2 linked regions of the Macaca mulatta genome follow. Each later gene encodes a partner of the first gene's protein in a complex. Links are inferred from orthologs where the notes say so. Each region holds a gene or a part of one and is shown on either strand. Other genes may lie near its edges.

Evidence for each region. Proteins that work in one complex are often made in the same cells at the same time.
Region 2: the proteins of AAGAB (region 1) and AP1S3 are in contact, whole or in part, in a crystal structure (PDB 9DDT), measured with the Homo sapiens proteins. The link is inferred for Macaca mulatta from reciprocal best matches to the Homo sapiens genes AAGAB and AP1S3. Residues at the interface, in NP_078942.3 of Homo sapiens: Asn51, Lys52, Tyr53, Tyr54, Glu108, Val109, Met110, Ile111, Gln128, Ile132, Gly135, Phe136, Glu137, Asp151, Phe153, Pro154, Glu155, Arg161, Gln164, Ala165, Asn167, Ala168, Asn169, Val170, Met176; in NP_001034658.1 of Homo sapiens: Arg10, Gln11, Lys13, Arg15, Gln37, Leu40, Ser41, Arg61, Tyr62, Ala63, Ser64, His85, Val88, Asp92, Phe95, Val98, Glu100, Leu101, Asp102, Ile104, Phe105, Asn106.

Annotation. Positions count from the first base shown.
Region 1 is NC_133412.1:44,727,303-44,731,629, reverse strand, and holds part of AAGAB (alpha- and gamma-adaptin-binding protein p34), read left to right. Parts: intron 1-2,202; coding exon 2,203-2,307; intron 2,308-2,580; coding exon 2,581-2,630; intron 2,631-3,277; coding exon 3,278-3,355; 3' UTR 3,356-4,327. UniProt on the Homo sapiens protein: May be involved in endocytic recycling of growth factor receptors such as EGFR.
Region 2 is NC_133417.1:129,025,689-129,030,015, forward strand, and holds part of AP1S3 (AP-1 complex subunit sigma-3), read right to left. Parts: intron 2,760-4,327; coding exon 2,651-2,759; intron 1-2,650. UniProt on the Homo sapiens protein: Subunit of clathrin-associated adaptor protein complex 1 that plays a role in protein sorting in the late-Golgi/trans-Golgi network (TGN) and/or endosomes.

The DNA.
Region 1 (4,327 bases):
TAACATCACTGGTAATAGGACATATTGACATAATAGCCCTCCTTATAGGATGCAGTGAGAAGGTATTCTCACCAAAAATGCATAACTGCAATCTAATAATAAGAAAATATCTGATAAACCCGGTTAAGGGACATTATACAAGTAACTGACCATACAAGTGTTAAAGTCATGAAAGACAATGAAAGACTGAAGAACTGTCACAAATTGGAAAAGACTAAGGAGATTTGACAACTAAATTCCATGTAGGATCTTGGAACAGAAAAAGGATATTAGTGGAAAAACTGATAAAGTCTATGGTGTGGTTAATGACATTATACCAATATTAACTTCTTGATTTTTATAATTGTACCATGGTCATATAAGATGTTAACACTGGGGAAAGTGGGTGAAGAGTATATAGGAACTCTGTATACTATTTTTGCAAGTTTTTTTTAAAGAATAAATTAAGAAAAAAATTTAAGGCAAAACCAAATCAATAAAAACCAAACACTTCCTCAATCCCATGTCTTCCACCTTATCTCTTTACTAAACTTATTTCTATTCCTTACCTCCCATTTGCCCCTCACCTCACTCCTGTCTGTCTTTTGCCCCTGGTATGCCACTACGGCAGCTCTGTGCAAAGGCCAACAATGACCTCCATGCCACTGAATCGGGTAGATATTTTCCAGTCCTCATCTTGACCTTGTGGCGGCATTCAGTGTTACAGATCAATTCCTCTTTGAAACATTATCTTCCCGTGCCTCACCCAACACGATGTCACCTGGTTTTCTTCCTACTTCTCTGATTATTCCTTCTCTTTCTTTGGTAGATACCCTCCTTTTCTCAGCCTTTAAATATTGACATTCTTCATTGCTCCATTTAAACTCTTCCAAATCTATATTTAGGCATGGAGTGATTCTGTCTGCATTAACAGCTCAATTACTATGTATACACAGATAGATCACAAACTTTTATCTTCAGCCCTGTATACTAACTTCCTACACAACATGTCCATTCAACAAAAGCAAATATATTAACCAAAATACATTTTGAACACCAAATTGTCTATATGGCATTGTAATAGATGCAAATAATTATAAGTCATCCTATCTTCATGGAGCTTAGTCTAAAAATATAGAGATAGGACCTATAATGTAGTGATTAAGGTCATAGGCATTGGAGTCCTGTAATTGGAACCCTGCTGGGTTCAAATCATGGCTTTATCACTAGTAATGGTCTGACCTTGAGTAAATTAACCTCTGTTGGTGTTAGTTTCCTCTTCTGTAAAATAACGGTGACAAATCTTTCCTCATAGGGCTGTTGCAAAGATGAAATGGGACCATGTAAGTTAAAGCATTCAGTGGTGCAGATCCAAAGCAAACTCTCTCTCTTATGGTAGTAGTATTTATTAAAGTAGTGGTGGAGAAATGTTAGAATAAAAGGTAATATATGCAAGTGCTAAGACAGTTCTAGAAACAGTAAATGTAGAAAGAATTCTAAGGAAGGAGACCTGTGAAACTGGGATGGGCAGGGAAGACATTCTGAAGGTAGTGGGCCTGGAATGGAGAAGAAGTTAAATTTCTGATTAAAAACAAACTTTAATAAAGAAGCAGTGTGCCAAGGTAGAAACCGTAAAAGATTAGTAGTAAGGAAATGTGAATTTAAATCAGCTCTACCTCTGAATAGCTGTAATTTTAGATGAGTTCATTTTTAGATACAGGTTTTTTTTTCCATATCATTTTCTGTTATTCTCAGATAATGTTATCTGTTCTAATCACCTTTTATAGTTGTTGTCAATAATAGATGTGAAAATATTTGTTGTACAGTAAAATATGGTATAAACTTTAGTCATTTATTGGTGAGTCAATGTACCTTAGTGGAGTGAGTATGCTTTTGGAGTTGGTAACCCCTGTGTCTGGATCCACTTACTAGCTGTGACCTCGGCAAGTCACTTCACCTCTAAGCTGTGGTTTTCTTATCTTTAGAATGGAAATAGTACTCCTTACCTCATGTCAATGTTGTGAGGATAAAATAGTTACGCTTCATTTGTGAGGGCCCACTAGCAGCCAAGCAGGGCGAGGCACCATGAACTGTAAAGGTGGTATATACACTGGGCCTTCGATCATTGGTGACTTCATCAAGGCTATCATTTGCCTTAGGATTCTCTCAGTGTAGCACATATGCAAATAACGTGACAGATAATGTGACAAATCTCTATTTCAGATCCCATGTTAGATCTGGATATTCAAGAACTAGCCAGTCTTACTACTGGAGGAGGAGATGTGGAGAATTTTGAAAGACTGTTTTCAAAGTTAAAGGAAATGAAAGGTAATCGGATCCCTTGTGTCTAATATGTTCCCGTATTGATGCTTGTCTGTTTTATGTAGTAGCATTTTATTTTGTTCACTGCTGGATTGGATTCCTTGTTCTGGTCTCAGCTGTCTTGAGAAACTTAGCTACTCGTGGGACTTGGTAAAAAAAAATTTCCATCTTCATTCTCTTTCCTTTTACTTTTCCTGCTTTTGCCTTCTTCTGTTTCTTTCAACGTGTTACGTGGCCTGTGCTATTAGACAAATTTCTTAAGATGCATTTTCCCCCTAGACAAGGCTGCGACACTTCCTCACGAGCAAAGAAAGGTGCATGCAGAAAAGGTGAGACAATCAGCCGGGTATTTAGTGAGTACCTATAAAAGGTCCAGTGCTATTATTATAATTATATATCACACTTGTGTATTTCTGAAGGTCTTAGTGTGAGCTTTTCATTGAATATTAACTTCTAACTAATTAAGTATTTATACAGTAATAGTATAGTTGCTGCATTCAAACCAAGATTTTTCACCTCTATGGTGAGTGACATGGAACCTTCATTGAGACTCACAATGTTTGCCTTTCTAACTATTGGGCCAGAAGACTCTTAGTTGTTTTGTTATATTATTACCAACACATGTTATTGGCAGGAAACTTGGATGGTTGATGGTGTTCCCTGATATGAATGTGTCATAATTTATCCTGTTCCCTTTTGGACATTTAGGTCATGTGCATTTTTTGCTTCTATAAATAATGAAGCTGTGCATATCCTTACACATCATCTTTGTATACAACTCTAAATATATCATTGGTATAAATTTCTAGATGTGGCGATCATGGATCAAATGGTATTCAAGGGTTTTGATATGTGTTGCCAGAGGACTGGAGGGCAAAGTGCAGAATTGTAGGTCTCAGTCAGTTCAAGGCATAACATATGAAACAAGCTGAAATGTAGCTGTTGCCTAACATTTGTTGCATGCTTCTCTCCACAGGTGGCCAAAGCATTCTGGATGGCAATCGGGGGAGACAGAGATGAAATTGAAGGCCTTTCATCTGATGAAGAGCACTAAATTATTCATACTGGGGTTTGACTAACAAATGCTAGCTGTCTCTGAGATCTCTCTCTACTCAGCCCAGTCATATTTTGCCAAAATTGCCATTATCATGTTGGCTGCCTGACTTGTTTATAGGGTCCCCTTAATTTTAGTTTTTAGTAGAAGGTTAAGGAGAAATCCTTTTTTCCTCAGTATATTGTAAGAGAGCGAGGAATACAGTGATAGTAATGAGTGAGGATTTCTTAAATATAAATTTTTTGTTGTTGTTCTAGGAATGAGGGTAGGATAAATCTCTGAGGTCTGTGCGATTTACTTAAGTTGAAGACAACCTCCAGGCCATTCCTGGTCAACCTTTTAAGTAGCATTTCCAGCATTCACACTTGATACTGCACATCAGGAGTTGTGTCAACTTTCCTGGGTGATTTGGGTTTTCTCCGTTCAAGGAGCTTGTAGCTCTGAGCTATGATGCTTTTATTGGGAGGAAAGGAGGCATCTGCAGAATTGACGTGAGCTATGTGGGGCCAAAGTCTTAGCCCACAGCTTAGTCTCTACCTAAGAAAATGCTTCTGGGCATTCTTTTGAAGTATAGTGTCTGAGCTCATGCTAGAAAGAATAAAAAAGCCAGTGTGGGTTTTTAGACTGTAATAAATGAGGCAAAGGATTTCTATTCCAGTGGGAATAAAACCTCTCTAGTGAGTTGTGGGAGATAGGTTGTATGTTAGAGAGAACCTTAAGGAGTCCTTGTATGGGCCACGGAGACCGTAGGTGATCATATACTGTGATTTTCGTAAAGAAACTCTTCTGCCTTAGTTAGAGTTCTCCCCTGCTGCTGGAGATGCCAGAGCTGTGTTGTCATACTTTATACCCACAAAACAAGGCACATTTCCCCCTTTTTCTCTTTACAGCCAAAGAGAGATGACTGCCAAAGGGGGAACACTAAGGAGTGGGTGGGGAAGCGAAATGTTGGGCAGTGAGTTCCTGAGCACC
Region 2 (4,327 bases), on another chromosome or scaffold:
CCACAATTCACATTATCACAGTTGGTTTAATCTATGAAAATGCGACAGGTCAGGCCAGAGTTCAGAAAGGAGAAAGAGAAGGCAGGTTATGGGAATGCTCAGACCTCAGGGAAACTTCTTCAGGCTCTTGCAAAAGGCAAAGTCTGTAGTTTATTTCAAAGAAAAGTACAAAAATGTGAGAATTCATTTGAATAGTAGAAAGTATTAAATTAAATAATATGTTTGAAAACGTGCTATTATACATTTGCAAATTTTTCCTTTAAAAAAATGAAAATAAACTTAGTACACCAAGAGGAGAAAGAAAAGATGGTCTAGTTGTCTTATTGCTGTTATATACTGACCAACAACCTGAAATCCCTGAAGTAACATTTTAGGTCTTACAATATCATTTGCAAGGGGGAAGAAAAGGGAGGGAGGAAAAATTGTTTTAGAAATCTATCCAGTGTTCATCCTTATGAAAAGTGTTGCAACAAATTTGATAAAATTTGTTCAATATTGCAAATACTGCTCATTCTGTTAACGAGAATAACCAAAAAAAACTCTTCTGGAAGCAGATTATCATAACACTTAACAAAAATCTTCAGTGAGTAAGGGAAGAGGGTATTAAGAGAAGAAAATGCTTTCTAAATCCAGTGATTTATTTCTTGAGACTGTTAACTGGATTAAATGTTTTGGAACATTTGCTATCAGATCTGGCCCACAGCTGTTACAAGTTAAGCGGTGGGGGTATAAAGTGAGTCACAAAGCATGGTCTCAACAGAATTGCAATTTGGTGGTCGAGCAAATTGGGTGCCAATGAGGGACACTCCAAGGTCATTCCTTGTTGCTGGAGAACTCTCAGGTATATAAAAAGGGAAATGTAGCCTGGAGGCGGTGGCTCACGCCTGATGTTGGGAGGCCAAGGCAGGCGGATCACCCGAGGTCAAGAGTTCAAGACTAGCCTGGCCAACATGGTGAAACTCCATCTCTAATAAAAATATAAAAATGAGCCAGGCATGGTGGCGGAGGACTGTAATCCCAGCTACTCTGGAGGCTGAGGCAGGAGAATCACTTGAACTCGGGAGGCAGAGGTTGCAGTGAGCAGAGATCATGCCATTGTACTCCAGCCTGGGCAACAAGAGCAAAACTCTGTCTCAATAAATAAATCAATCAATAAAAAAGGGAAGTGCAATAAGGCTGGAGGAGTGGTCAGGGATCCATGCTTTGAAAGGTTAAACGACAGGCTAAGGAGATTGACTTTATTTATTGTACATGATGGAAAGTGGCTGTGAAGGAATGCCACACCTATATCTGGGTTTTTTAAGGAAGATGGTAACTCATAAGGCAAGAGGGCGAACAGAGAAAAGCTCAGAGGCATAAAAAGCCAGGTAGGATGTTTAAGAGAAAAGCAAAATTGAAATTCCAAGTGAACCTATACCAGTGAGAGTGGAAAGAAGGAAATGAATGTCAGCCCAATTTGAATAGATAGAGGCAGATTCCGGTAAAGTGTAGAAAAAGACAAAAGAAACAGCATCCTTTTGCACGGAAGGATCCTGGAACATAACAAATTCCAATCACAAGACAGAACAGATTTTCAGTAGATGAGTTTGGTTCTGGACCATGAGAAGCCCAGTGAAGACTGTCACCAACCAGGGGAAGAAGAGTCACATAGTAAGGGATTTCCAGGGCAGAGAGTCAGTACACACAGAGTTAGGAAGAAATGAGGGCATTTAGGGATGGCTGAGTGGAAGAAACCAAGGAGGGGCCTTCAGAAATAACAGGACAAGTGTCAGCAGAAATCAATGTCATGGCAAAATCAAGAATTTAAAGAAAGCGTCATGGTGAACAAGGGTACGGTGCTGCAGCGAGAAGCAGGTGAAGGCAGGTGAAGACTCAAGAGGAATCGCTGGTGTCAACCCACAGGAGGGTTCAGTGGTAACTTGCTGATTTCCTTGGAGAGTCAAGATGGACCCATGCTGTAAGCACGGCCAAGTGAATGAGTTCTGAGGACAGGAGCACCTAGTATAGCATATCGCTTGGCAGAAAGTGCAAAAAGATTATTGAATAACAATGTGAAAGAAAAGGATCTGGTTTTGTTGTTTGTTGCTATTTTTCTTATGCATAAATAACTAAGAATACTTATAGCTTAGAAAAAAAGCCAGAGAAAGGATAAAAAGTCAAAACAGAAAAGAGATGACAATGTCAATGAAGTATAAAGAACAGAATATCAAGAAATCCTTCAGAGTTAAATTCTGGTTCACTGAAATAAGGTCTCTGGTGCATTTGTAGTTTGAAGATAAAGATATATCCACCTCTCGAAAGCTTTGGGTGGCCGGGCGTGGTAGCTCATACCTATAATCCTAGCTCTTTGGGAAGCTGAGGTGGGAGAATTGCTTGAGGCCAAGAGTTCAAGACCAACCTGGGCAATATAGCAGGACCCTGTCTCTATTTAAAAAGGAAAAAGGAAAGCTTTGGGTCTTTCATTTACTGAGAATTACAGGTAGGGAGAAAAGTCTTGTATTCTAATCTTAGGGGACTAAGGTGATCTTTGGTTCAAGTTCAATTCATATTTTAGATGTGAGAGAGAAAAGGAATGCGATGAGAGACAGAACTGAAGTAAGAGCTGAGATGGGGACTGTAGCTAATCCTAACCGACAAGGACAACACTTACATTTCCAAAATATTTGTCCAGCAGCTCCACGTAACGATGCACAATCTCTAGCGTCAAGAGCTCATTGTCCTGATTTTCTATTGCACAGCAAAAATATAAACTAGCATACCTTGAAATGAAAAATAACAAAAGGAAAATATGACGATACATTAAGCAACCTGGAGACAGTTTTTCCCGTGAATATGTAAAGTCACCTCCTCCCCCCCGAGCCTCTCCTCATCCAAGAATGAAATCATTATTCATCACCCCCAATAGCCTCCTGAAATATAAATCAGAAAATATGAAAATGCTGTGGGGGTTGGATTACTTCCGTTAATTATGCATGAAAGGCTCTCAACAAAATTGTACCTTGAAGAGCTATTATCAGGAGGACAGTATCCTTTCACCCCTGGTAATCAGGGTGTCGTCACACCCCTCTCCAGCTTGTCAATTGTTTTTTGTAAAATAGAAAGCCCTGACCAGGGCTGTCAGGAGCCCACGCTCCCCACTCTCCCGCTTCACAATGGACTTCAGTCATTCTGTGTGGGCCTCCCTCCTCAACTTGTCAGACTCCAACCTTGGGCCCAGCAGATGGAGCTTTGCAGGCACTTGCTGGTAATTTAGTCCATTGAATATCAGTCTGTGAAGGTTACCTCTGTTTTTCCCAATGAGTTTTATAGACACCCTTTGCAAGAGCATATCTAAGGAGCATAACTCCTTCCAGGAGTTGCAGTGGGGTGTTGCATACAAGGTCAAGTTAGCTGTGTTCTGTTCCTGGCTTAGGCATCAATTACCTGGGTCTCCAAGGGCAAAATCATGTTACCTCTCAGGCTTAGTTCTCTCACCTATGGTGGGTCCTTTCTAGTAATGGTCTTGCCGTGGCAAGCAGGTATGGTAAAAAGAATACGCAGGCTTTAAAGCCAAAAGGATCTGGATTTGAAGCCTGGCTCTAGCAATTAACACTCAATTACTGTGACTGGGAACTGACTACTAAAACTCTGTGTCCTCAATGTACTCATTACAAATTCAAGTAATAGGCATAATAAGAGCTGTCCCACCGAACACAACCCCATTTCTGAAAATATTTTATTTGGTTACTTAACAAATATGTATACTACATGACAGCAGGAATGTCATCTGTCTTGTTCACTGATGTATTTACAGCCATTAGAACAATGCCAGGAAAGGCCGGGCATGATAGCTAACACTTGTAATCTCAGTGCTTTGGGAGGCCGAGGCAGGTGGATCACCTGAGTTGATCACCTGGAACTCACAGGAGTTCCAGACCAGCCTGGCCAACATGGTGAAACCCCATCTCTCTTAAAATACAAAAATTAGTCAGGCATAGTGGCAGATGCCTGCAATCCCAGCTACTTGGGAGGCTGAGGCAAGAGAATCGCTTGAACCCAGGAGGTAGAAGTTGTAGTGAGCCGAGATCATGCCATTGCACTCCAGCCTGGGTGACAGAGTGAGATTCCATCTCCAAAAAATTCAAAAAGAACAATGCCGGGAATGTAACAGGTTTTCATACCACTTTTCTTAAATGCATGCATGCACTATCAAGGTGTAGTTTATTTACCTAGAATCCTGAATCCTGGCACCTAGAATTTCTTTCAATAAAATGAGAGTTATTTTCTAGTTAGTCTATTGGTACAAATATCTGGGCTCCAGCCTTCAAAGATTTCAGTAAGTGATGGA